4 linked regions of the Drosophila melanogaster genome follow. The protein of the gene in region 1 interacts with the protein of each later gene in a pairwise test. Each region holds a gene or a part of one and is shown on either strand. Other genes may lie near its edges. The genes, in order: CG9632, lcs, FoxP and Npc2g.

Evidence for each region.
Region 2: the proteins of CG9632 (region 1) and lcs interact in a two-hybrid assay, tested with the Drosophila melanogaster proteins (one large-scale study listed by BioGRID).
Region 3: the proteins of CG9632 (region 1) and FoxP interact in a two-hybrid assay, tested with the Drosophila melanogaster proteins (one large-scale study listed by BioGRID).
Region 4: the proteins of CG9632 (region 1) and Npc2g interact in a two-hybrid assay, tested with the Drosophila melanogaster proteins (one large-scale study listed by BioGRID).

The regions. Positions count from the first base shown.
Region 1 is NT_033777.3:15,857,819-15,862,972, reverse strand, and holds CG9632 (uncharacterized protein), read right to left. Parts: upstream 2,778-5,154; 5' UTR 2,626-2,777; coding exon 1,969-2,625; 3' UTR 1,495-1,968; downstream 1-1,494. Other genes in the region: CG31183 (uncharacterized protein), read left to right, coding at 156-884, 1,038-1,202, 2,792-2,975, 3,034-4,642.
Region 2 is NC_004354.4:21,395,365-21,399,800, forward strand, and holds lcs (la costa), read right to left. Parts: upstream 1,953-4,436; 5' UTR 1,917-1,952; coding exon 1,479-1,916; 3' UTR 1,363-1,478; downstream 1-1,362.
Region 3 is NT_033777.3:9,724,885-9,733,360, forward strand, and holds FoxP (forkhead box P), read right to left. Parts: upstream 5,989-8,476; 5' UTR 4,550-5,988; coding exon 4,011-4,549; intron 3,953-4,010; coding exon 3,775-3,952; intron 3,719-3,774; coding exon 3,541-3,718; intron 3,482-3,540; coding exon 3,437-3,481; intron 3,352-3,436; coding exon 3,275-3,351; intron 3,208-3,274; coding exon 3,106-3,207; coding exon of another isoform or gene 3,043-3,105; exon of another isoform or gene 2,734-3,042; coding exon of another isoform or gene 2,524-2,733; exon of another isoform or gene 2,267-2,523; intron 2,130-2,266; coding exon 1,686-2,129; 3' UTR 1,136-1,685; downstream 1-1,135. Other genes in the region: hyd (hyperplastic discs), read right to left, coding at 580-641; alphaTub85E (alpha-Tubulin at 85E), read right to left, coding at 6,445-7,266, 7,395-7,919, 8,262-8,264.
Region 4 is NT_033777.3:30,743,509-30,748,044, reverse strand, and holds Npc2g (Niemann-Pick type C-2g), read left to right. Parts: upstream 1-2,781; 5' UTR 2,782-2,811; coding exon 2,812-3,291; 3' UTR 3,292-3,440; downstream 3,441-4,536. Other genes in the region: Npc2h (Niemann-Pick type C-2h), read left to right, coding at 1,785-2,258; CG15543 (uncharacterized protein), read right to left, coding at 4,229-4,536.

The sequences.
Region 1 (5,154 bases):
TACTGCAAATTATATAATAATAATATAATTAATGTGGTTTATGATATGAAATTCGGCCTGTTGAAAGATACAAGACACAAAAGTCAGGATTGAACATTCTCGTTGAAAACTCTTGAATACAGATATGGTAACCCGATGTATGTGTCTAATTTCAGCACTTCCTGGGTATGCAATCCTGTCAATAGTCCTGGGCACCATGGTGGTCGTAATGGCCGTGTGTTTCTTCTTCGGCTATCGTCACTACATCGCCGAGGCGGAGATTAACTCGATGAGCTGGAAGGTGTCGCTGGAGGATGTGATGTTCCGAGATGCAGCGGAGCGTGGCCTGAGAGGCTCCTTCCATTCGCTGGTCAAGCAAAGCTCCCAGCTGACACTGATGTCCGAGGACATGGTGTCCATTAACGGAGATCGCCAAATCTTCATACCAGTGGGCATGTTCCGCAAGAGCAAAGTGGCCATCAAGCCAGTGGAGGTGGACAACGTTCAGGGCCTGCTGACTCGCAGCTTAATGCTGGAACTGAAACGGATGAAGGACTTGCAGCACGACCACTTGGTCAAGTTCTATGGCGCGTGTTTGGATCAGAGGCGTAGTTTCCTGCTCACCGAATACTGTCCCAAGGGCTCGTTGCAGGATATCCTCGAGAACGAGCAGTTCCAGCTGGACTGGATGTTCCGCCTGTCGCTGATGCACGACATCGTGCGTGGAATGCAGTTTCTACACAGCTCCGACATTCGGTCTCACGGCAACCTGAAGTCCTCGAACTGCGTGGTCGACTCCCGATTTGTGCTCAAGATCACCGACTTTGGATTGCACACCCTGCGGCGGACGAGATTCGACCTGGAAAGTGATGGGGGCAACTGCAATAGCCACGCCTACTGGAGCAGTAAGTAGTCCCAGTTTGCTACTGTGTGCAGTGCACTGAACAAAAAGTTAATTGAATGCAGCAAGAATTTCCTTGTAAATTTTTTTATTTAATATTATTTTCCAAGTTTCGAAATATATTTTAAATATATATGTAACTTATTTTCCCGTACAGAGCTCTTGTGGACAGCCCCCGAACTGCTGAGAGTGGAGCACAATCGTCCGCCGGAGGGCACACAGAAGGGTGATGTCTACGCCTTTGGAATCATTGTGCACGAGATAACCACGCGACAAGGACCCTTCTACCTGGGCAGATGTGCGTACGAGAAATCGCCACAAGGTATGCTATTCAAGTGTTTCACATTCTATACCCTCCTCTCGTCCTTCGAGTGTCCTTTTCACTTGGCCGTTTCGTGTTGCGGCCGATTTTGTCTGTGCGGAATTTTAATGCCAGATTTTTGCACATGTTGCGGTTATTTCGCCCGTCAGTTGGCCACTCGGCTGGTGGTTAAGGCGGTTGTGGTTGGAGGAGCAAGGAGGAGCACTGCAAAATACGCAGTCGAAATAGTGAAAGCCCGTGTCCAATGCCAATATTTTTGTATAATCTTAAACAGGGTAAACATTAAAAAATTAGTTGGATGCTGAAATTTAATTCACTCAAATCATTTTATAAACGAACTTAAAAGACCAAATTAAGTAGTCAGCGAAATGTTCTGCTAATAAAAATGTACCAAAATAGGAGCCTTCGGCTTAGCAATTCTATTTAATTAAAGATCCTGCATCAAGCACGAAACCCAAAGTACTTGTATTTTGAAGTATGTATGTTGCTAGCCTTTATGATGTTCTATCTTCCTGGTTGAAGTACACATTGCCCTGTTGAACCGCAGACCAACTTCGAGTTCCGCGCCGATTTCAAAAACTTTGCCTTCTACTTGGCACTTGACGATTTCATCAAATTAGGCCGTGACTGGGAATCAGACTCGTCCTTAGGCCGCAGAATGCAACTTTGGCATCTGGCACTAGACGACGTCTGTAGGCGAATTTAATTGCGGTGCCAGCGAATCTGGAAATCGAAATCAAAGTGCTGGCTGGTCGAAAAAGGCAAATCACGAACTCTCTCTGCGGTGGGGCACGTCCTGGCAGCTGGAATCGTTGGCGAGGTTCAAGCCGCATCCGAAGGGCAGGAAGGCCCAGCAGCCGGGTAGCTTCCTCTTGGTCCTGGTCTTCTTCTTGTGCTTGTCCTTCTCTCTACCGCCGGCTTGGTTCTGGTTTTTGTTGTGTTTCTCGCATGGCGTGTTCTTTATTGGGGATTTTCCGCATTCCTTCTCCTTCTTGCTGGACTTCATACCTGCGTTGATGCTGGCATCGGGTCCGGGTGTTTCCTGCCACGCCTGGTAGCACTGCCTCCGCTGAACCTCCAGCTTGCGCAGCCACTCGATGCGTGATCTTTCCCAGCCTCTGTGCGAAATGGTGGAAGGTGGTGTTTTCTCCCTGCACCCGAACACCACCTCAATATCGGTCGGTTCTGATGGATTCCGGTTGTCCATGCCGCCGCACTGCCTTCTCTTGAGCTTCTTTTTCGGACCACTGGTCATGTTCCACAGGAGATCAGCCATTTGGGCCTTGCTCAGCGATTGCCGGCGATTGCAGATGAGCTGCAGCAGGATCTCGTGCTGGTTGCAAGGCCTCATTTCCTGGGGTTTCGGAGGCTTTGCATGTGCAAAGAAGCTGACCAAGTCCAGATATTCCATTCCCGTGCTCATATTGCGGAACGGTGTTTAGATGTCCGAATTCGGAATCCACCAAAGGATCCAGTCTGGTGTTAACATAAAACTGCACTTAACACGAATAATTTACATAACATGTTTACACAAAACTATTTCCAAATTGAAGGCTAATTCAACGTTATTTTGTTTGTCGTACGATCAGAAATAATCGAACTCGTGAAGGGATACAATCCTCATAGAATGCAGAAACCATTCCGTCCTGAACTTGAACCAAACGGTGATACCAAGGCGGACATCAATGGCATAATCCGTCGCTGCTGGGCAGAGGATCCTGCCGAGCGTCCGGACTTTAATACCCTGAAATCGATGATACGCAGATTTAATAAGTAAGTACTAACTGAATCCATAGTTATGGATTCCTCACTAACTTTGACTGCTTTACAGAGACAACGAGACGGGAAACATTGTAGACAATCTGCTGAAGCGCATGGAACTGTATGCCAACAATCTGGAGGAACTGGTGGAGGAGCGCACCCAGGACTACCACGAGGAGAAAAAGAAGTGCGAGAAGCTGCTGTACCAATTGCTGCCGCAAAGCGTCGCCGCCCAGCTCATCAGCGGACAGCCAGTGGTGGCGGAGACCTTTGACCAGGTGACCATATACTTCAGTGACATCGTGGGCTTCACTGCCATCTCGGCGGAGAGCACGCCCATGCAGGTGGTGCAGTTCCTGAACGACCTGTACACCTGTTTCGATTCCATTGTGGAGAACTTTGATGTTTACAAAGTGGAGACCATTGGAGATGCGTACATGGTTGTGTCCGGACTGCCCATTCGAAATGGCAATCAGCACGCCCGGGAGATCGCCCGTTTGGCACTGGCCCTCTTGGAGGCGGTGCACAATTTCCGCATCCACCATCGTCCGGAGGATCGGTTGAAGCTAAGGATAGGCCTGCACACCGGTGCCTGTGTGGCCGGAGTGGTGGGCCTGAAGATGCCACGCTACTGTCTGTTTGGTGACACTGTGAACACTGCCTCCCGAATGGAGTCCAATGGTGAAGCGCTCAAGATCCACATAAGTGAGACCACAAAGGAGGCGCTCGACGAGTTCGGCACCTTTGTGACCACACGCCGCGGATTTGTGCCCATGAAGGGCAAAGGTGAGATGCTGACCTACTGGCTGGAGGGCGAGGTACCCCGCCCCAACTCCCTGATCTCGCCCAGCAAGCTGATGCTCACGCGTCGCTCCTCACTGAAACAACCGCAGCGCAGCCAATCGCATAATCTTCACAAGCAGTACTCCGAACTAGTGGTGGCCTCGCCACCACCCCAGTTACCGCCACCTGCGATCGCTCTGCCACCGCCACCGTCGCCGTCCAAGGATTCGCCCAATCTCCGCGTGAAACGCAAGATCAGCTCCAGTTCACCCAAGCTGAATGGCGGCGGCTTTGACTATCACAAGACTGAGAACCACTATCTGGATACGGCGGCGGCTGCCCAGAGGAACTGCGACATCTACAGCAGCCGCAGTCTGAGGGACATGGAGGAAACCTCCGATAGCTGGGAGCTGGCACACTTCCGGCTGCCGCTGAGCGGAGCACTCAAGAGCCACCATCACCTCAATAACAATAGCCACGGCTATGTGCACTCGAATTCCAGCTCCAATCTGAGCGGTATCCTGCAGCCGCCGCCACTGGGTGTCCAACGCACCCGGCTGAAGCCCTCGCCCACGATCTCAACGCTGCTGACAAGCGCCAGGAGTGAGGCCAATGCCTCCCCAGGCCCCGAAACGGGCAGCATGGGCAGTGGGCAGCTGAGGATCAAGTTTGCTGAAGGAGACGAGACCCCACTGCTGCCCACACCGCCGCCGCTGGCTGCTCCTCCACCGATTCCACAGATGGTGGCCGCCAGTCCGCAACGGAGCGGCAGTGGCCAGAACATTCCGGCGGACAGCAGCCACTACGGCTTCCTGGTGAAGAGCTACAAGCAGCAGTGCCCACCGGTGGCGGGCAGTGCCGTCACCCAGCCACTGCTGGCCAAGATCAACTCATAGCTGTATGGGGGGGAGTCGACTCCCTCTTCACTGTAATCATATGCATATTAAATGTACTTGTTTGTGATAATAAGTTAAACCCAAGTTGAACAAGTTAGTGGTTAGTCAATAGTCGACCGAATCAAATTCGAAATTCGTACGGGAAATCTTCTAAAATGTTTCCTAGGTTTTAATCGCCCCATCCCCTTACTCATAAGTAGCGAATTTTATATTTAACCAAACCTCAAATTAAACAAAAATAAAAACAAAAAAGGCAACTCTAGATGTAAATAGAAACTTACTCCCAATCAATTTGTTCCTTGTGCTTTGAATATTCATTCTCTACAAACTCAAAAACTTAGCTTAGTTATTACCTAAGGTTAAGCGTAGACAATTTGTGAAAATTTCTTGAATGTAAAGTATTAGATGAACATTGAATATTTATTTTGAGAATTGACGAATAAAGAAATCTATATAATCTGTATATTTTACCCGCAGTATGTCGAAATAGGGTTTTAAAAACAAGGAATATT
Region 2 (4,436 bases), on another chromosome or scaffold:
CACCAAACCGTATCCCAAATGCGGCATCCTGGCCATAAATTAGTTATCGGTGCTAATTGTTGAATGGATGAAGCGTGATTTGATAAGGACGTAACTGGTGGTAATTGAGGAAAAGACAACTATCGTTGGCCCACTGCCGACCAGGTTGTCTACTTAAACAATATATAAGGGGGGAAAAATTATCAGATTTCAATCAAAAATAAGCCGCTACAGCATTCGACATAAAAACAAGAGGGAATCTTATAGTCGAGTTCGTAGAGTTATTTTCGATAAAATATCGAAAAATGGTTCAAAAATGTGGCCGTGGCAGTTTTGTGCGGTTTTAGGGCGTTAGAGTGGTCGTGGCAAAAAGTTTTTTATTGTACATCGATAGGAATTTACAAGACTAATAAAAATGTAAAAAAATTGTGGGCGGCTATTGATTCTGATCAAGAATATATATACTTTATATATTCAGAAGCGAATGTACATACTGTATGTATGTGTATATGTATATATGTATATATACACAAATTCTTCTACATGCTATCTACATGCTAATACTAATGAGCCATAATGCTTTAAACTGTCACAATCATATACACTTCAATCGTTCCTTATCACATACAATTTATTGTATAATACATATCATTCCAATCCAAGAATGCAACATTTTGGAGTGGCTTATATTCAATATCTAAAGTAACCAGAACTGAGAAATAGCACGTTACTCATACACATACATTAAAGTGTTTTTTTTTTTCAAATTTCTTTTTATAAGAAACCGTAGACCTGGAAACACATCCTGAAAACAAGAGTATTTATTAGAGGACACCCTAAACGCCTTTGTTCACTGGCACATAACCAGTTGAGTGAATGCGTGTGTGTTCGTTATGGCAAAGCCATAATCTTGTTGTTTTATAACTTTTAATGCCTCCTAATCCAGTTGCTGCTCCTCGGGCTCATCCTTTTAAGCTTCTGTACCTTCTTCTTGGATTCCACTAGCGCCAGTTCTGTCGCAAATTGACCAAATGCACTTAATTGGTAAACAATTTGGCTTTCACCCAAGCGAGAAACGAGGCCGGCTCGAATAAGTTCGATTCCAATTGGCCCGGGGAATGATTTGCTTCAAATTCTCAATGCACTTCCTAATCGCCAGTGGATAATTTAGCACTGGCATTGCATAATGCCATTTAACTAATTGTTCTAAAATTACTTAACTCACGAAAAGTTTTAGTATTGGCCGAAGTAATTAAATGGCTCGCGTGGTACTCGCATGTACCTTCTGGCTTGATACATCAAGTTGATCATAAGCCAAACATGGATGAAGATCCTTTGGATAACTATTTGGCATTCAAGGATTAACTTAGATAAAAAAATCACGATTGAGCTAAAAAAAAAAATTTATTACGCACAGATTCGCTTTTTGATATATACAATTATTTATGAACCCGGAATAGCCGAATGGGCAAAACTCGAAGGGGAACATGTCAAGCGATTTATTCTGTGGAGGATGCTGTGGATGATTCCGTCGAGGATTCCGTAGAGGACTCTGTAGTGGAGGACACTGTAGTGGACGAAGCTGTCGTGGTGGAAGTGCTTGTTGAGGCCTCAGTTGTCGTGGATGTGGTTTGGTTGGATGGAGGTCCCCATGGTTTGGGGCCTCCTGGTCCACCTGGTCCTCCTGGGCATCCTGGTCCTCCTGGGCCTCCTGGTCCTCCTGGTCCTCCTGGGCCTCCTGGGCCTCCTGGTCCTCCAGGTCCTCCAGGTCCGCGACCTCCTGGGCCACCTGGTCCGCCAGGTCCACGTCCTGGTCCTCCGCGACCACGACCTGGTCCACCAGGTCCACCAGGTCCACCGGGACCCCAAGGACCAGGTCCTTGGGCGGAGGCCACTGCGACCAGGGCAACAAGAGTAACAAGGATAAGGGTACGCATTTCGTTATCTGATAGTTAACGACTCGAACTGATCTCGGCATTACTTGGCATCGGTATATATACCCACCGTCTGCTAAAAGTCTCGGTGGCACATGTGTTCCATCGGTGACGTTTGCGCGTTGAGCAAACTAACGTCAGTGTGGATTTGTAAATTCCACTTTCCAAGTCAGTCACTTCGCAATTGACATTGGCCTTCACTCTGGGGTTCTGTCAGATGGAAAGAATATGAGTTTGTAGACAATGGTTGATTCATGTTTAGGTTTATTTCCAAAATTGTTGGTTACAAAGCTTTGTTAATGAGTCTATAAAAAATATATACTCTTCTCTATTTTTTCTGAATTTAATAAATTATTCATATTGAAATGGTACTATTACACATATTTGAAAATAAAGTTTTATAAAATTGAATGCTGGATAAATGCGTCTTAAAATCAATTGCATCTAAAACTATTTCAGTTCAGAACTTAACAATGCTTTTACCTTATGGTAGTAAAGTACGAATAATTTCTACCAGCTGTTTGGATTGCTTTATGGATCTTACATAAAGGAATCAGCAAGTTCCGTGAGCCATTATCTAGCTAAATATTTGCGCTCCATCCATATGTGATGAACTTTGTGGCCAGGCGTCAGTGGACTTGATGTTTATAAACCATCAATCGTGTCTTTGACAAGAGTGTGAATTACCTAAGAATAAGGATGTTTGAACAAGTGGTTCCGTTAGGCTTTAATGAAAGTCAAATTTGCAAACACGTAAAGTTGAAAACAACTAAGGAAAGAGAAATCGTAAGAAATTCTGGAAAGTCTATTATATAAATCTTTAAGTTGTTAATACTACAGAAATGACTTACTTAACATGAATTCAGTGCATTCTTACTATATGTCGATAGTAAAAAAATCCTCTTGGGGCTATATTACCACTTACCACTTATTAGTGCTTTACTCAAAACTCAATATAATGTGACGATACATCTATGTATATGCTTATGTACACTAGTCGGCATAAGTATTTTGACAATATAAACGCAGTAAAACTTTAAAATATTTTGATATGACAACAATGATTTTTGTTGTTGTGTGTAAGTAACATAAATTTAAAAATTAACTAACGAAACTTAAAAATATATAAACAATTTAATGAAATATGATGATTTTTTGTATTGGCTTAAAGTTTTTGACAAGCCTTTAACACCTCAGTAAATAAGTTTAATTGAAGCTGGAGCTTAGGAGTAGGGAACCAATTAATAAAATATATATCCACCTTTGGCATAAATAACTTTTTGAAGTCGGTCCTTTACTGAATCCACCAAATTGTAAAGGATCTCTGGATCCTTCCTCTCTTTTCGGAAGGCTGGTGGTCAGATACCACTGAGATTGGTGTTTTGGAAGAGGATTTTTTTAAATTCCCGTATAAGGATTCTGTCGTCAGCGAATGTTGTTTTGCGCCTAGGTTTAGTTCTTTTTAAATTTTTCAAAACTTTTTAATTTGATAATACACAGAATGGCGTGACAAATTAAACTCTTTCGCAATGTTTTTTTTACTTTAATTCCAACGTTAAATTGTGCTACCATTAATCCATTAATCTAATAAACAAACTTAACTTTTTACACATACCTATTAATTATTTTTTTTGTTTTTAATAACGTTTAATAACCAAAAAAAAAAAAATAATAATAACCAATATATTAAAGCTCAAAAGCAGGATACCATTTAGTAAATGGTTGTCTGCGTGCATTCTTGTAAGTAGAAAGGGAATGCAATGGGTAAGCCGTAAACAAATTTGCATTTGGTGTGCTAAATGTTCATTCATCATTCATGAGCAATGCAAATGCTCATCGTTTCGCTCTGTTTGTTAATGTCAAGCGCAAGTAAGTTTTAAAAGAAGCAGGCTATTTTGTCAAAATAGTTACTGGTGTAACTGGTGTATGTGATATGTATTTCCTCTTATTTTTTTTTTTTGGCTACGCAAATGTTCTAGAAATAAAAGCGAACGTTATTGGCCGTGGAGGTAAGTGAAATTTCATCAAGGTTTTTGTTTGTATACAAAGTTCGTCTTCTTTCTAATAGTATGATTTACATGCATCGTTCTCTCAGCAACCAACGACCCCGAATATTTTCTAGGAATTTACGCAACTGTCATTTGCAGTGTTGAAAAGTGTTTTTGTTCAATTATTTCCATCCGATGCCAGTAGCGTTTCGGTTCTCTCCGGCTTCACCGTTTCGCTCGCTCGCACATATGCATACCATGAAGTTGTTGTTGTTAATTGGAATAAATTGCTTCGGTGCTTTATTTAAAGAGGAATTTGTTTTGTTGCAGCATCGTACAACAAAATGCTTAATTAAGTTTTTGGTCTTGTTGCTTCAATTGTTATTTGTCTACACTTTTTTCAAATGCCTCTGGCTCTGTGTGTGTGTGAGTGTGGAAGCGTCTGCGCGAGTGTGCAATTGAGAATGCCGGTATAGAACAATGGCTGTTTAGAGCTGCTTTACACACGTAGAAATGATACCCTAAATGAGTTCTT
Region 3 (8,476 bases), 6.1 Mb from region 1:
TGGGTTATGGAAAACGCTGAACGATTTCATGCCATGTGCTGAAAGAGCGACATTCGGCGAAATATAATGTACAAATCAAGCATGTGAAAACATGTTTGTAACATTGTACATTTTAGTCGGAAGCATGGACTTCTGCAAGCTTCTTTCGAGAAGCTTATAATATAAACATTTCAATAGTTTGCTCAGCACAAATAGTTAAATATGAACAAATTAATCAGCATGTATGCACATGCACTCACACATGCTACCGTTCACATGTCGCACACATTCGCACACACACACATATGCGAATGGTTAGAGAATTAATTGTGGATGAAAAGTGGGAAACGCAAGTGCATTTCGCAAATTCTGCGGCTAATGTTTACAGAACCGCGTGGACGGCACTAGATGAGGTAAGTCCGCCAGTGTCTGTGGCTCGCGTTTTACGTTAATGATCATATGTACATATCTTCCTGCGTATACATATAGCTGCGTACCTACATATTTTCACATAACAAATACATGCAGCCGTACGTACACAATTACACGGAATTCCGCGTTCACATGTGCGTAATTGCGGTACGCGAGGATTATATTTACCTTTCAATAAACTGATCGTCCGAGCCCGGTAGCGGTTGCAAAACAAATTGCATGGAAACCATTTTAATTTTTCAACTATTCATGTACACAGTGTCCTCGTTGAATTTTCATGTCACAAAACGTTGAGAGACTTTCAGAGTGACCGTACTGGCTAGAGCTGGGACGAAAACCGATGCCGCCCGACTGTATCGATGGTTGCCGGAAAATTCGACGGTATCGATACATTCTCCAAACAAATTTATTGGTAAACAAAAACTTTACTTTCAAATTAAATTGACATTGACTACAATATGTGTACTTAGGCTGTATATATTTTATTAAATTTAAGATACAGAAGTTCACGAATGCGTCCATTCTTATCGGTTGTTTTTCCTTAAATAGTGGCAGTCCAAAAAATCTCCAATAGAATATACTAAAATATACTAAAGACCGCTTTAAAATAATGAATTGGTAGAAAACTTTGATTGACAAACTTTTGAGAAGCCGATTTAACCGCTTTTACGTCGCGTAAACCGTTTGCTTAGGAACTAGAAATAAAATTCAGTTTGTTCACTTTGTTGTATATTTGAGGAATTTATTTAGGTCACTGAGTATCGTTAATGATCTTAAATTAGAAGGAAATTAGATAAGTCAGCAGAAAAGCATATACGTTTACTAAGGAGTTTCCAAATCTAAAGCTCTCAAGGGTCCAGATTTTTAACAGAAGGTATACCTGAAAATAGTTTCCTTAAAAAAAAATCATATTGTGACTTTTAAAACAGTTTTGTTAAAATTTTATCAAGCTATAGCTTTTAAATGTTTTCTCCCTTGCTGAAAAGTGAAAATATTCATATATGTTGTACTCGTATATTAAAATCGTGTTATAAGTGGAGTTATTAAAGCAAGTTTAAACACATTAATTTTGCTTTAATAATTTAACGTAGTTCTTTCGTTTATTTTATAGCATTAGTGAAATTTATTTTAAAAGTATTTTTTCATTTCTATTTGGGAAATTATACATAGAACCATGTGTATGTACAGATATAATTTCCGAATCCGAACCTTCTTACCAAACGCAGATTACTCGACAATGCATCTAAATATATGTATAGTTAATGATATATTATTTATCGATTGTGCTCATTGGCACTACTCTCGTACATATTAGTAGAATATTCATCGATTGTCAAGTGGCTGTTACTTTCGATCATACCCGAGTCCATATTGCTATAGTCCTTGGACGCTTTACTTAAACCATCACTACCGCAATAGGGAAGACAACCAATTCTGCCTAAATCATTTGGATTATTGGAATCTAGAGGATTATCAGCACCCGGTGGCAAACTAGTGCAATGTTGCGTACAATTGTCGCAGGGATTCTTATCAGTGGGCACACCATTGCCGGATTGGCATGAATTTGGGGAGGAGGACGGTTCATATTTCCGGGGTCTCCCTCTCGACAAGTGCCGCCTTTTGACAAACTCATTATCGTCGACCATCCAAAACGAGCCAAAGTCATCTTCATAACGTACAAAGCACTTGTGTAAGGAAAGGTTCGTACGAATCGCATTCTTTATGATTGGTTGGACAAAACAAGAGCCCCATCAAGAGTCAGAAACAGGAAATTGCATTATCGTGAAAGGAAGAAAAAGTTCATTGAGATATTAAGGTTAGTTCATTTGTCTTCGGTCTTCTTATTTTCATTTTTCATAACACGCGAAATCCTGGATAATCTTCATCAGCTAAATTCCAGACAGACAGACAGACAGATCGATGAGCAGACGGACATCATTTTGGGTTTCTACCACTAAGAGATTAGAATCACTGTTTACAATTTGCGCTGTAAAAAGATCGTATAATGTCATATTATATCATTTCGATATAGGAGCATGCATGCAATGGCATATGTATATTTACTAACAGAGCAAAACGGAAGGAGTTTGGAGCAAAGTGAGTAGAATTAAACTATTTGAGACCCACATACCCAATGTTCATGGCTACAAAATAGTTAGTGTCCGGCGAATTGGTAGCACCGGTTAGATTGTTACCAATGCCAGCAGTGCGCTGCGGTCGTCTTTTGTAAAACTCAATCTCATCGACAGTCCAAACTGCTCCTTTCACATTCTCAACCCGCATAAAGCACTTATGAAGGGACAGATTGTGCCGGACTGCGTTCTAATGATATATATTATCAGTTAGCATAGGCCAAACTTAATTTGATTATTTTAAGACATATAAAAAGGAAATGGAATAAAACAGGATCTGACCTGTGTAGCTTACCTTGTTATATATCACTTGTATTTAGCTCTATTATACTCTTAAATATTGGCAAAGTAGTGGACAATGTGGAAAAGGTAGTATATAGTATATATACAGCGGACAAGCTAGGAACGCCAATCGGACAAACGAGAGTTATACGGACGGACAAATGGTCATATCAGATCATAGATATCATATCATATAGCATAAATACTCAAATTAAAGTTATGTTGCATAATATATAGATAATATGGAGGAAAGAAGATTTACATATATGGGGCATTTTACCTTCCACGTAGCTGCGTTGCGCCGGAAGTAGCAAAATGTGTTTTGGAACCAGTTGTAGATTTCGTTTAGGGTTAACTGCTTGTCAGGGGAGTCAATTATAGCCTATAAATAAAATATATATAAAAAAAATAAATTAATGTTATATTAGGAAATTGGTTTTTAAAATTACCTGTCTTATGAGGGAAGCATAAGTAAAAGGCGGTCGTACATCAGCATTCTTATAAAACTCTCTGTTTCGATGGATTTCTGCAAATTTAAATTCTTATTATATGTCTTCCAGAAGCACAAGACGAATAGTCATCAAGACGATCAGTCTACATAATTTACTTACCCTGTTGCACATCAAGACCTGCTCTTTCAAGCATATAGGGTAATCCTATATCCAAAAACCATTATTATTTTTATACAGTAATAGTAAATTTTTCCCAAACTTACCCCCATTTATGGAAAATGTATTTTTGTCGTGGTTTCTCTTTTTGATCGAGCACAAGTTGGTGGAATTAACCATTGGAAGATTCAGAGGACTCGGTGAATTTGTTTGTCGGATGGGTCGGCCTATGCTATTTACGGTAAGCGGACTCCGGCAAAACTTTCCCTCTCTTCCGGGCACGTCCTTATATTTATAACTTTTCATTATACCAATACTTACTCACATAAAAAGGGACTTACCTTCCTGTCGATTTTGGTGGGAGACAAAAGCTGCTTGGACAAATACAAGTGATGCATCATTGCCTGCAAGCGATCTCGTTCTTTTTGCAGGTGGGATTCCAGCTGGGAGACAACTTGCATTTGAACCCGTGCCTGTGCTGTTGATCGATCGTCCAAACCATGTTCCGTATTCAGATGCCTAGTTAGATAACATACCCTATATAATTATTTCATACCTCTAATTGTACTCCACCTACTTGACAAACGATGTGATGTCTTCCAAATCCATTTCGCAACCAGGCCAACGGCATATGCCATGAGCAAATAACGGATGATAGTACTTCCGCATGGCGAACTCATCGTGCATATAGCTGAAATCATTGTTGCACACCTCATTATCCTTCGACCGCAAGAATCTCTCTGCATCGGAGAACATGAGCTTCTCCTGCTCGGATATGAACTCGGGCACATTGTAGAAACCCAGATCGGGAACGGGAGCCATCATATGCTGACCCTGTATATGCATGTGTGGATTGGATTCGTGCTGCTGGGCCGCCGTTGAGGATTCATCGATGCTCGAGGCCGGTGAGCTGCACTTAACTACATGTGAGGCAAAGGTGATCGAGTTATTGAGAAAGCCAGTCGGCGGAAAACAATTGTTCTTAACAGCATCTGAGCATATGTCTGGTATGGAAATTTGGTGTCTCGACTTCACTGATATCTCCTTCTGAATCGAACTCTTAAAGTCCGATTCCTTGGCATCCTCGGAATACTCGTCGTCATGTATCCGATGCATGTTTTTAAAACTGAAATTTATAATCATTACCATTGATCCTTTACCCAAGAGATGGGCATATGCAAATACACAGAAATAATCTCTTTTTCGTCTGTCATTAGGAGTCATTTCAATAAAACTATCTTTACTCATATGCCGCCATTCCTGTAAAACTCCGAATCAGAGTGATAGTTTAAGGATTTCTATTTATTACGCCCTATTTAATTTCAGCTTAATTTTCCCGCACTATCATTGAGATGATACTTTCCCCAAAAGTTATGAATATTTAACAACTTGGCGCATATAAGATTTAACCCCTACTAAAGGCCCAGTGCTAAATGAATTCAGTGTAAATTAAATTAAACATTCTTTAAATGTTTGATTTAATTTTAAATATGTTACAAATAAAATGCCACGTCATCCGGTGCAGTTAATCTGTAAATATAAAGGTTATTCATAGAAAGCATTTATCATATTTAGGCGTATAACAAGTTTAAGATCTCACAAGGGGATTGCATAGGTGGCAAGGAAACCAGACACATCTTATTTTGCTAAAAAGAAACATATACAACATACATAACATAAGAAACATACAGACGGAACGGTCGGACAAACGGAAGGACATACAAACGGACGGACAAACGGACGGACAAACGGACGGACAAACGGACGGACAAACGGACGGACAAACGGACGGACAAACGGACATACAAACGGAAGGACATACAAACGGACGGACAAACGGATATAAAAACGGACGGACGTTTTGGCTATAGGATGAACTTAAATGGAAGAGTATATGAGTTTTGCAGATAGGACCATCTTACGATTGTTTTAATCAAATTCCTGTAATGAAAAATTATATAGCCACCTAAAATAAGAATAAATGTAAATGGTGAAATATGTAAGTATTAAATGTTTTATAGGAAAAGAAGAAAGATATAAAAGAGAAGAGAGAGGTATGGTTTTCATCACATTCGAAGATCCTGAAAAAATAGTATTATATTCGATATACATAAGCTTTTTGTGTAAAGGCGAATAAAGATAAATATATTGTTGGTATTGTGTAGATTTGCATTGTCTGTATTCGTTGGGGGCATTGATTATTCCAAGGGGTATATATGGGTAAATAAAATATTCATATTTCATATGTATACATATCATACAATTTCTGTATAAGAACTGTTTAAACTGGGACTTTTAAGATAAAGTTGTCTGCCTAGACTACTCAACAATATCTTAATTAACTTAACAGACTAGACTTAAATTTTGCGAATACATACATGCACATACAATTTTGCAGACAAAAGAGGATACAATTTTGCATGTACATTTACAATTAAATAACATTCACAGAGGTTTCCAAAGAACAATATTATATTTAATAACGGGCGAATTTTTTAATACAACTTTTCACATATATGTAAAATTAATTTAAACTTAAAAACTATCTTAAGAATATTTTTCGCTGCTACTCCTGAAAAGGTACGTCTACGACTACTGAATTTGCTAGAAATATGTGTACACATTTTTGCGCATGCGTTTCAAAATGCATCCTAAGGCTCCATTACACGTAACGATTTCAAAAATTAAAAACTTTTAAAAGTCAACATTAATTTGCCCAATTAATATTAATATTTAAAGCAATAAGAAAGTGATAAGTAGGGTTTTTTACGGAGGGGTAATTTCCAATAAATATATGATTTACCAATTTCCTTATATGAGAAAGTTTTATTCTTATTAACACAAAAGTTAAATTCCATCTAAAGACGAATATTTCCCATTTAAATAAGCCATTTTAAGCAATTGTGTTAAACTGTTTTATTGCGAAACTGTTTTATGCATTGGTATTTGGTAGAAAGAAAGTGATGTTTATAAAGTTGTAATGGCTGTATCATTTGTTGACAACGTTTTCTCTAGTATTCCTCATCTTCCCCCAGTTCGGTGGTGGAGTCGATGCCTACCTCCTCGTAGTCCTTCTCGAGGGCAGCGAGATCCTCGCGAGCCTCGGCGAACTCGCCCTCCTCCATGCCCTCACCCACGTACCAGTGGACGAAGGCCCTCTTGGCGTACATCAGATCGAACTTGTGATCCAGACGGGCCCAGGCCTCGGCAATGGCAGTGGTATTGGACAGCATGCAGACGGCGCGCTGCACCTTGGCCAGATCTCCGCCAGGAACAACGGTGGGTGGCTGATAGTTGATGCCCACCTTGAAGCCCGTGGGACACCAGTCGACGAACTGGATAGAGCGCTTGGTCTTGATGGTGGCAATGGCTGCGTTCACATCCTTGGGCACCACATCACCGCGGTAGAGCATGCAGCAGGCCATGTACTTGCCACGACGCGGATCACACTTGACCATCTGGTTGGCCGGCTCGAAGCAGGCATTGGTGATCTCGGCCACGGTCAGTTGCTCATGGTAGGCCTTCTCCACGGAAATGACGGGAGCGTATGTCGCCAGTGGGAAATGAATGCGTGGGTAGGGCACCAAATTGGTCTGGAACTCGGTCAGATCCACATTCAGGGCGCCATCGAAGCGCAACGAGGCCGTAATGGAGGAAACGATCTGGCCAATTAGGCGATTGAGATTCATGTAGGTGGGTCGCTCGATATCCAAGTTGCGCCGGCAGATGTCGTAGATTGCCTCGTTGTCAACCATAAACGCACAGTCCGAGTGCTCCAGCGTTGTGTGGGTGGTTAAGATCGAGTTGTATGGCTCGACCACAGCTGTGGACACCTAACAGGAAGTTCGATTATTAGATTGCCTTTCGAAGACTAATTTCCCATGTCTTTTACTAATTATGTTAATTGGTCTTCTATAAATGCTCAAGCAATAGATATAATATCCATATGCAAATGACATACTTGTGGTGCTGGGTAAATGGAGAACTCCAGCTTTGACTTCTTTCCATAGTCCACGGACAGGCGCTCCATCAGCAGCGACGTAAATCCAGAGCCAGTGCCGCCGCCGAAGGAGTGGAAGACCAGGAATCCCTGCAGACCCGTGCACTGATCCGCCAACTTGCGAATCCTGTCCAGGACCACGTCGACGATCTCCTTACCGATGGTATAGTGGCCGCGGGCATAGTTGTTGGCCGCATCCTCCTTACCGGTGATCAGTTGCTCCGGATGGAACAGCTGGCGGTAGGTTCCTGTCCGCACCTCATCCACCACAGTGGGCTCCAGATCCACGAACACGGCACGCGGCACATGCTTACCAGCTCCAGTCTCGCTGAAGAAGGTGCTGAAGGAGTCATCGCCTCCGCCCACGGTTTTATCGGAGGGCATATGGCCATCGGGCTGGATGCCGTGCTCCAGGCAGTAAAGTTCCCAGCAGGCATTGCCGATCTGGACACCAGCTTGGCCAATGTGAACCGAAATGCATTCCCTCTGGAACAGAGTTTATAATAATGTGACTCATGTCGCTGTAAATTTGGGTAATTCTAAAATTTAACTTTGGACTTCCGGTTGCAAATCTGTGATTTGGACCATATGCTACAAACAATTTTGATCGCTGTAAGTTCTTGGGTATTCATTTAAGATAATAGTTTACAAGCAGTTATATTTTTTAAAACCATTAATTAATCACTTGCAAAAATGAATAAATATTGCACCATATGGTCTAGTTTTGCATGAAATCGCATATAAGGACTTTTAAGGATCCATAGTTCTGTGCAGCCGACGAAATTTCAAAAGTCCAGCTAAATCATTGAAAGTGCCTATTATCCTTACCATGATGATCAAAAGTTTAAGCTGAAGTTTAAAAAAGCAGATTCAATCACGAAAATCCTAGCACTGGTCTGTGATGCGACACACAGCTGGGAGTCAACTAACCGAATCTTGACGATACGCGTTCTTTTATAAGCCCCCAAGACAGACATATGTAGCATATGCTATATGCTACATGCTATATGTGGAAGTTATGTGAAATGTGGACGCGTTCATCG
Region 4 (4,536 bases), about 15 Mb from region 1:
GTTCGGCACTGGACTTTCCCACTTTTCCTGCTGCCACTTTGATGAGCAGCAGTCCATGTTGACATTTTTTGCATATTAATTGAAGACAAGGCCTCGTCTCCCATCGCCCTTTTCCCTTTCCCCACCCCCGGCCAGTAACCTCGTCCACCCTTGGCTTAATTTGCGGTAAGTTCATTAAGTAATAAAACATAAATTTCAGTTTTGTGTTCTCAACACCCCGTCGTCATCAAGTTCTTGATACTTTTCCCATTTTTTCGCTGCTGTTTTGGTTGTTTTTTTTTTTTTTTTTTTGTTAATGCTTTGCATATTTCTTTAATGAATTAATTCTGTTTTGGTTTCGCTTTGGGTTTCGGTTCTGTTGATTCACCGTTCACTGGACTTTGATAAAAAAAAAGGCACAAAGTCGCCGCGGAAATAAAACTGAGGCACATTCGCCAGGGGAAAGGGGCTCGAATATTTCGTATAATTTATGCGAAAAACATTAGGGAAAACGGAGGAACGCGTTTGTCGAGTGTTAATTATGCTCTGGCTGCAAAACTTTCCTATCAATTTTTGAGAATACAAATTTGAGAGCGCAAAAACATGTTTTGCATATGAAAACAGAGATATGAAAATTGGGGGAAAACAGGGAAAATGTTGCGCTTTGCCAGTCGTTTTCCTCGGCGGCTAATTGCATACTCCTGGGGATTCCCGTATAAGAGTTGAAAAATCGCGCGCATCAAATTGCAATTGCCGGCGAACACTCGAAAAAATCACTATTGATTTGTCGGAATATATGATAAGTGAAGCTCAAGGTCTGATTCCACATCCCACATCTAATTGGTTTGCAATTGCTTTTTAATTGGATCATTGTACCTCAGTTAGCCCTGGTAATTTCGCGCAGTGTACCTTGGGGTTGGACTGCCTTGGGGTGTCAGGTTGTCAATCGCCTCGCCTGTTGTTTGTTGCCCCTGATTGTTGACATGCATTCCCGCAAATGAGCCGTGCAATTGTCGTGCTGCCTCCTATTGACAGCTCCCAGTTCGATAGTCAAATAGTTCGATGCATATGTACATCTCGCGACGGGACCTCATCCTTGGACCCGCGGGATTCGTCTCGAGTTTCAGAGTCGCAGCGTGGAGCACTCCTGCATTTTCACATCTCGGGGCTTCCCTGACTGACAACTGTCGGTTTCCATCTCGGGGTGCTGACACTGAAAAGTGTGACGATTTATTTGTCATATGGCGCGGGGTGCCGAAATCAATTGGTTTTGTGCCCGGCAGATGCCTTAGATCTGCGACACGGGCATTGACAACCTCAACTGGACTTCATTTGTCCTGGATGCGACTGTCATTTGCTTTATATTCAACTCTTCCGTTGGGCTCAGATTCCAGGCTGACTAGTGCTTGTCGGCGGTACTAAGTGGAATTCCATTATAAAACAATTAATTATACTCTATATTTTCCGACATTCGCTGCCTGGTGATAACACTTAGTTCCCGGCTGTTGATAAGAGCTATTTAAGAACTCGAAATTTTTGAAAATTTTGCTTTTCTACTCTAACTATTGGGTTTAATCCATCCGCCTTTAATAAACTTTGGGAATTTGGGTATATTACAATTTTTGTTTGCTTCAATTTTGTGACGTTTTAATACGAACGTCATCCGGTGTTAGAAACTATTTTGAATAATTTGAATTACGTAAGAAACATTGGCATGCTCCATTCTCTAGAGTATAGCATTCTATCGCCACAATCCAATAGACTTTAGCCACTACGTGCATTCCGCGTCCGACTTTCGATCCATCATGTTGCGTCTGAGTTCGCTCCTGCCTGTCGCCTTTGCTCTGGTGTTGTCATCCGTCTCCGCTGAGATAGTCAACTTTCAGACTTGCGAAGATAGTGTGGACTCCTGCTCGATTAGTCAGGTGCGGGTGACGCCCTGTCCGGAAGCCAATGCCAATGCCGCATGCCACATTCGCCGGAGGCACCGCTTCACGATGAGCTTCGACTTTACGCCCCACTTCGATGCGGACACCCTGGTGGCCAGCTTGGGCTGGGCCAAGAGCGAGAACGTGGAGCTGCCCCTGCTTACCATGGACCAGGAGGCCTGCAAGTACACCACCTGCCCCGTGAGATCCGGAGTCACCCAGACCTACACCAACAACATGCCCGCCGACGCCAGGTTCCCGCTGAGTCCATACACCATCCGTTGGGCCCTGAAGGATCCGGTTTCCCAGAAACGTTGCTGCTTCACCATCGACATCAAGGTGGTGCGCTAGCAAGGTGCACTCCGTAATGGATGCTCCACTTAATATTTGGATTAATATATATCTTAAATATCTTCGAAATTAAAGTGATTTACAAGTGGGTCGATACGATAGTTTGGTTTGGTGTAATTAGCGGCACCTGTTTATAATCTGTATACCCAGTAATTGGACTCATTTCACCTTGAATATGTCAGCAGAACAAGGAATGCTGCTGATATGAGTGCCAATTAACACTTTGAAATGACTAATTAGGTAGAGTATGCCAATAAAATATGCGGGGTTACCTAATTTCTTCTAGTTGAAAATATAAATACTCTACTAAAAATGTGGGAACAGCCATAACTTTTTTAATATTTGATCAGAATTTTACAAAAACGTAAAGTGCCGTCTGCGACACCCTTACAATTCTAAGTACATTGCGATAAGGAGCTCGAATCTAATCAGCACGCCTGGAGCCACAGATGTGACCCAGTTCACGGGTCAAACGGGTACGTAGATAAGCCCGGCTTTGAGTCCGAGTCCGAAGTAGAAGTGCCTGCATTCCGTGTCTGGCTTTCGATCCATCATGTTGCGTCCTAGCTCGCTGCAGGCTGTCGCCATCGCCATCGTCCTGATCTCGTCATCCGCTTCCGCCGAGGTGGTCAACTTCGAACCATGTCCGGATAGCGTAGACACCTGTACGATCCAGCAGGTGAGAGTCTCGCCATGTCCGGAGGCCCTCAACAATGCGGCTTGCAATATCCGCCGGAAGCACAACAGTGAGATGAGCTTCGACTTCACGCCGAACTTCGATGCCGACACCCTGGTAGCCAGCTTGGGCTGGGCCAAGAGCGAGAATGTGGAGCTGCCCCTGCTCACCTTGGACAGCGCCGCCTGCAAGTACACACCCTGCCCCGTGAGATCCGGAGTGAAACAGACCTACACCACCCTGGTGCCCATCGAGGCCAAGTTTCCCCTGAGTCCGTACACCATCCGTTGGGCTCTGAAGGATCCCGTCTCCCAGAAGCGCTGCTGCTTCACCATCGACATTAAGGTGGTGCGCTGATTTGTGCCCACGCTGCATGAGCACTAAATTAAATAGTGAAATATACCTTTTTTCCCAAATAAAATAAATTACCGTGATGTTTAAATGATGTGCAAGTTTCTTAAAATACAAGGAGCTATATTGGCTGCTCCCCTGATTGTGGCGAATGCATTTATTTTCTGTTAACGATTTGGTGCGTTTTTTTTAATTATAAGTGAGCCGGCTTACGGCCCACTGGGGAAAACCTCAAGGAATAAAGATATTTACTCCAATAATCATCAACCTGCTGGCGACTAATTTGAACCCCCGGATGCCTCGGGCAGAATGAAAATGTATAAAACTTTGATTGAACTTTTGGGTGCCATTAAAAAGTCTCCCCGCCCTCGGCAGCTTTCCTCCACGGGTCTTATCAGCATCGTCAAACAATTAAAAATTGAGCACTTAAGTTGTGGTCATAAAATCATTTGTTTTTTCTCTTATTCTCCTCTCATTTTTTCCTGCGTTTTATTGTTTTTCTGTTCACATTTTTCAGTGGTGGAAATTCAAATAGAAAATCACTTTTTGCTACTCAGCGTTTTCAAGGCGTGGATGGTGATTTGCTTGGTGGGGATTTGTTTACCAGTTTTTGGTTGAAAAAGAAATATTAAGCGGAACTAGTTATACCGTATTCGCTGGAAAATGTTCTTGATGGGTATCCTATAGTCGGCATATCTAGCCACACGTTTCTCTTTTGCTTCTACTGTTTACCTAAACGAAAACGTCGCAATATTTTTTCGTTGGATGGGAATGGGGGTTTCGGTCAGAAGTCTGATAGGCCTGACCCCAAAAAAGCAAGGCAATAATAACACAAACAACGACAGACACTTGAGCAAATAATAATAATAACGAGAGTAATCACAGAAAGGACTCCAAGAACACATTGTTACTCAATTTGGATGCAGAGTGGCTGGAATCAAATTCAGATTTTGGCATTTGCCTCGCCGTATTTTTTACCCAGCACATAGGGAGTTTTGGTGAGCTCCGAGATGATCCCGCACTTGACCTGCTCGAAACAAGGTGACGCATCCACATAGACCACTTCTCTCCGCTGGCTGAGGTAGGAGCTTAGAGCAGGTTCACTTTTCCGGAACTGGGCCATCTGGCGGTCCACAAAACTGACGTGAGCTTGAGGTCCTGGCGAGTAGCTATTGAGCAGGATTCTCATGCGAGCCAGACGCTCGTCGATTTGTAGGAATACGAATCGATTCGGTGGCACAGTGAAGCCCT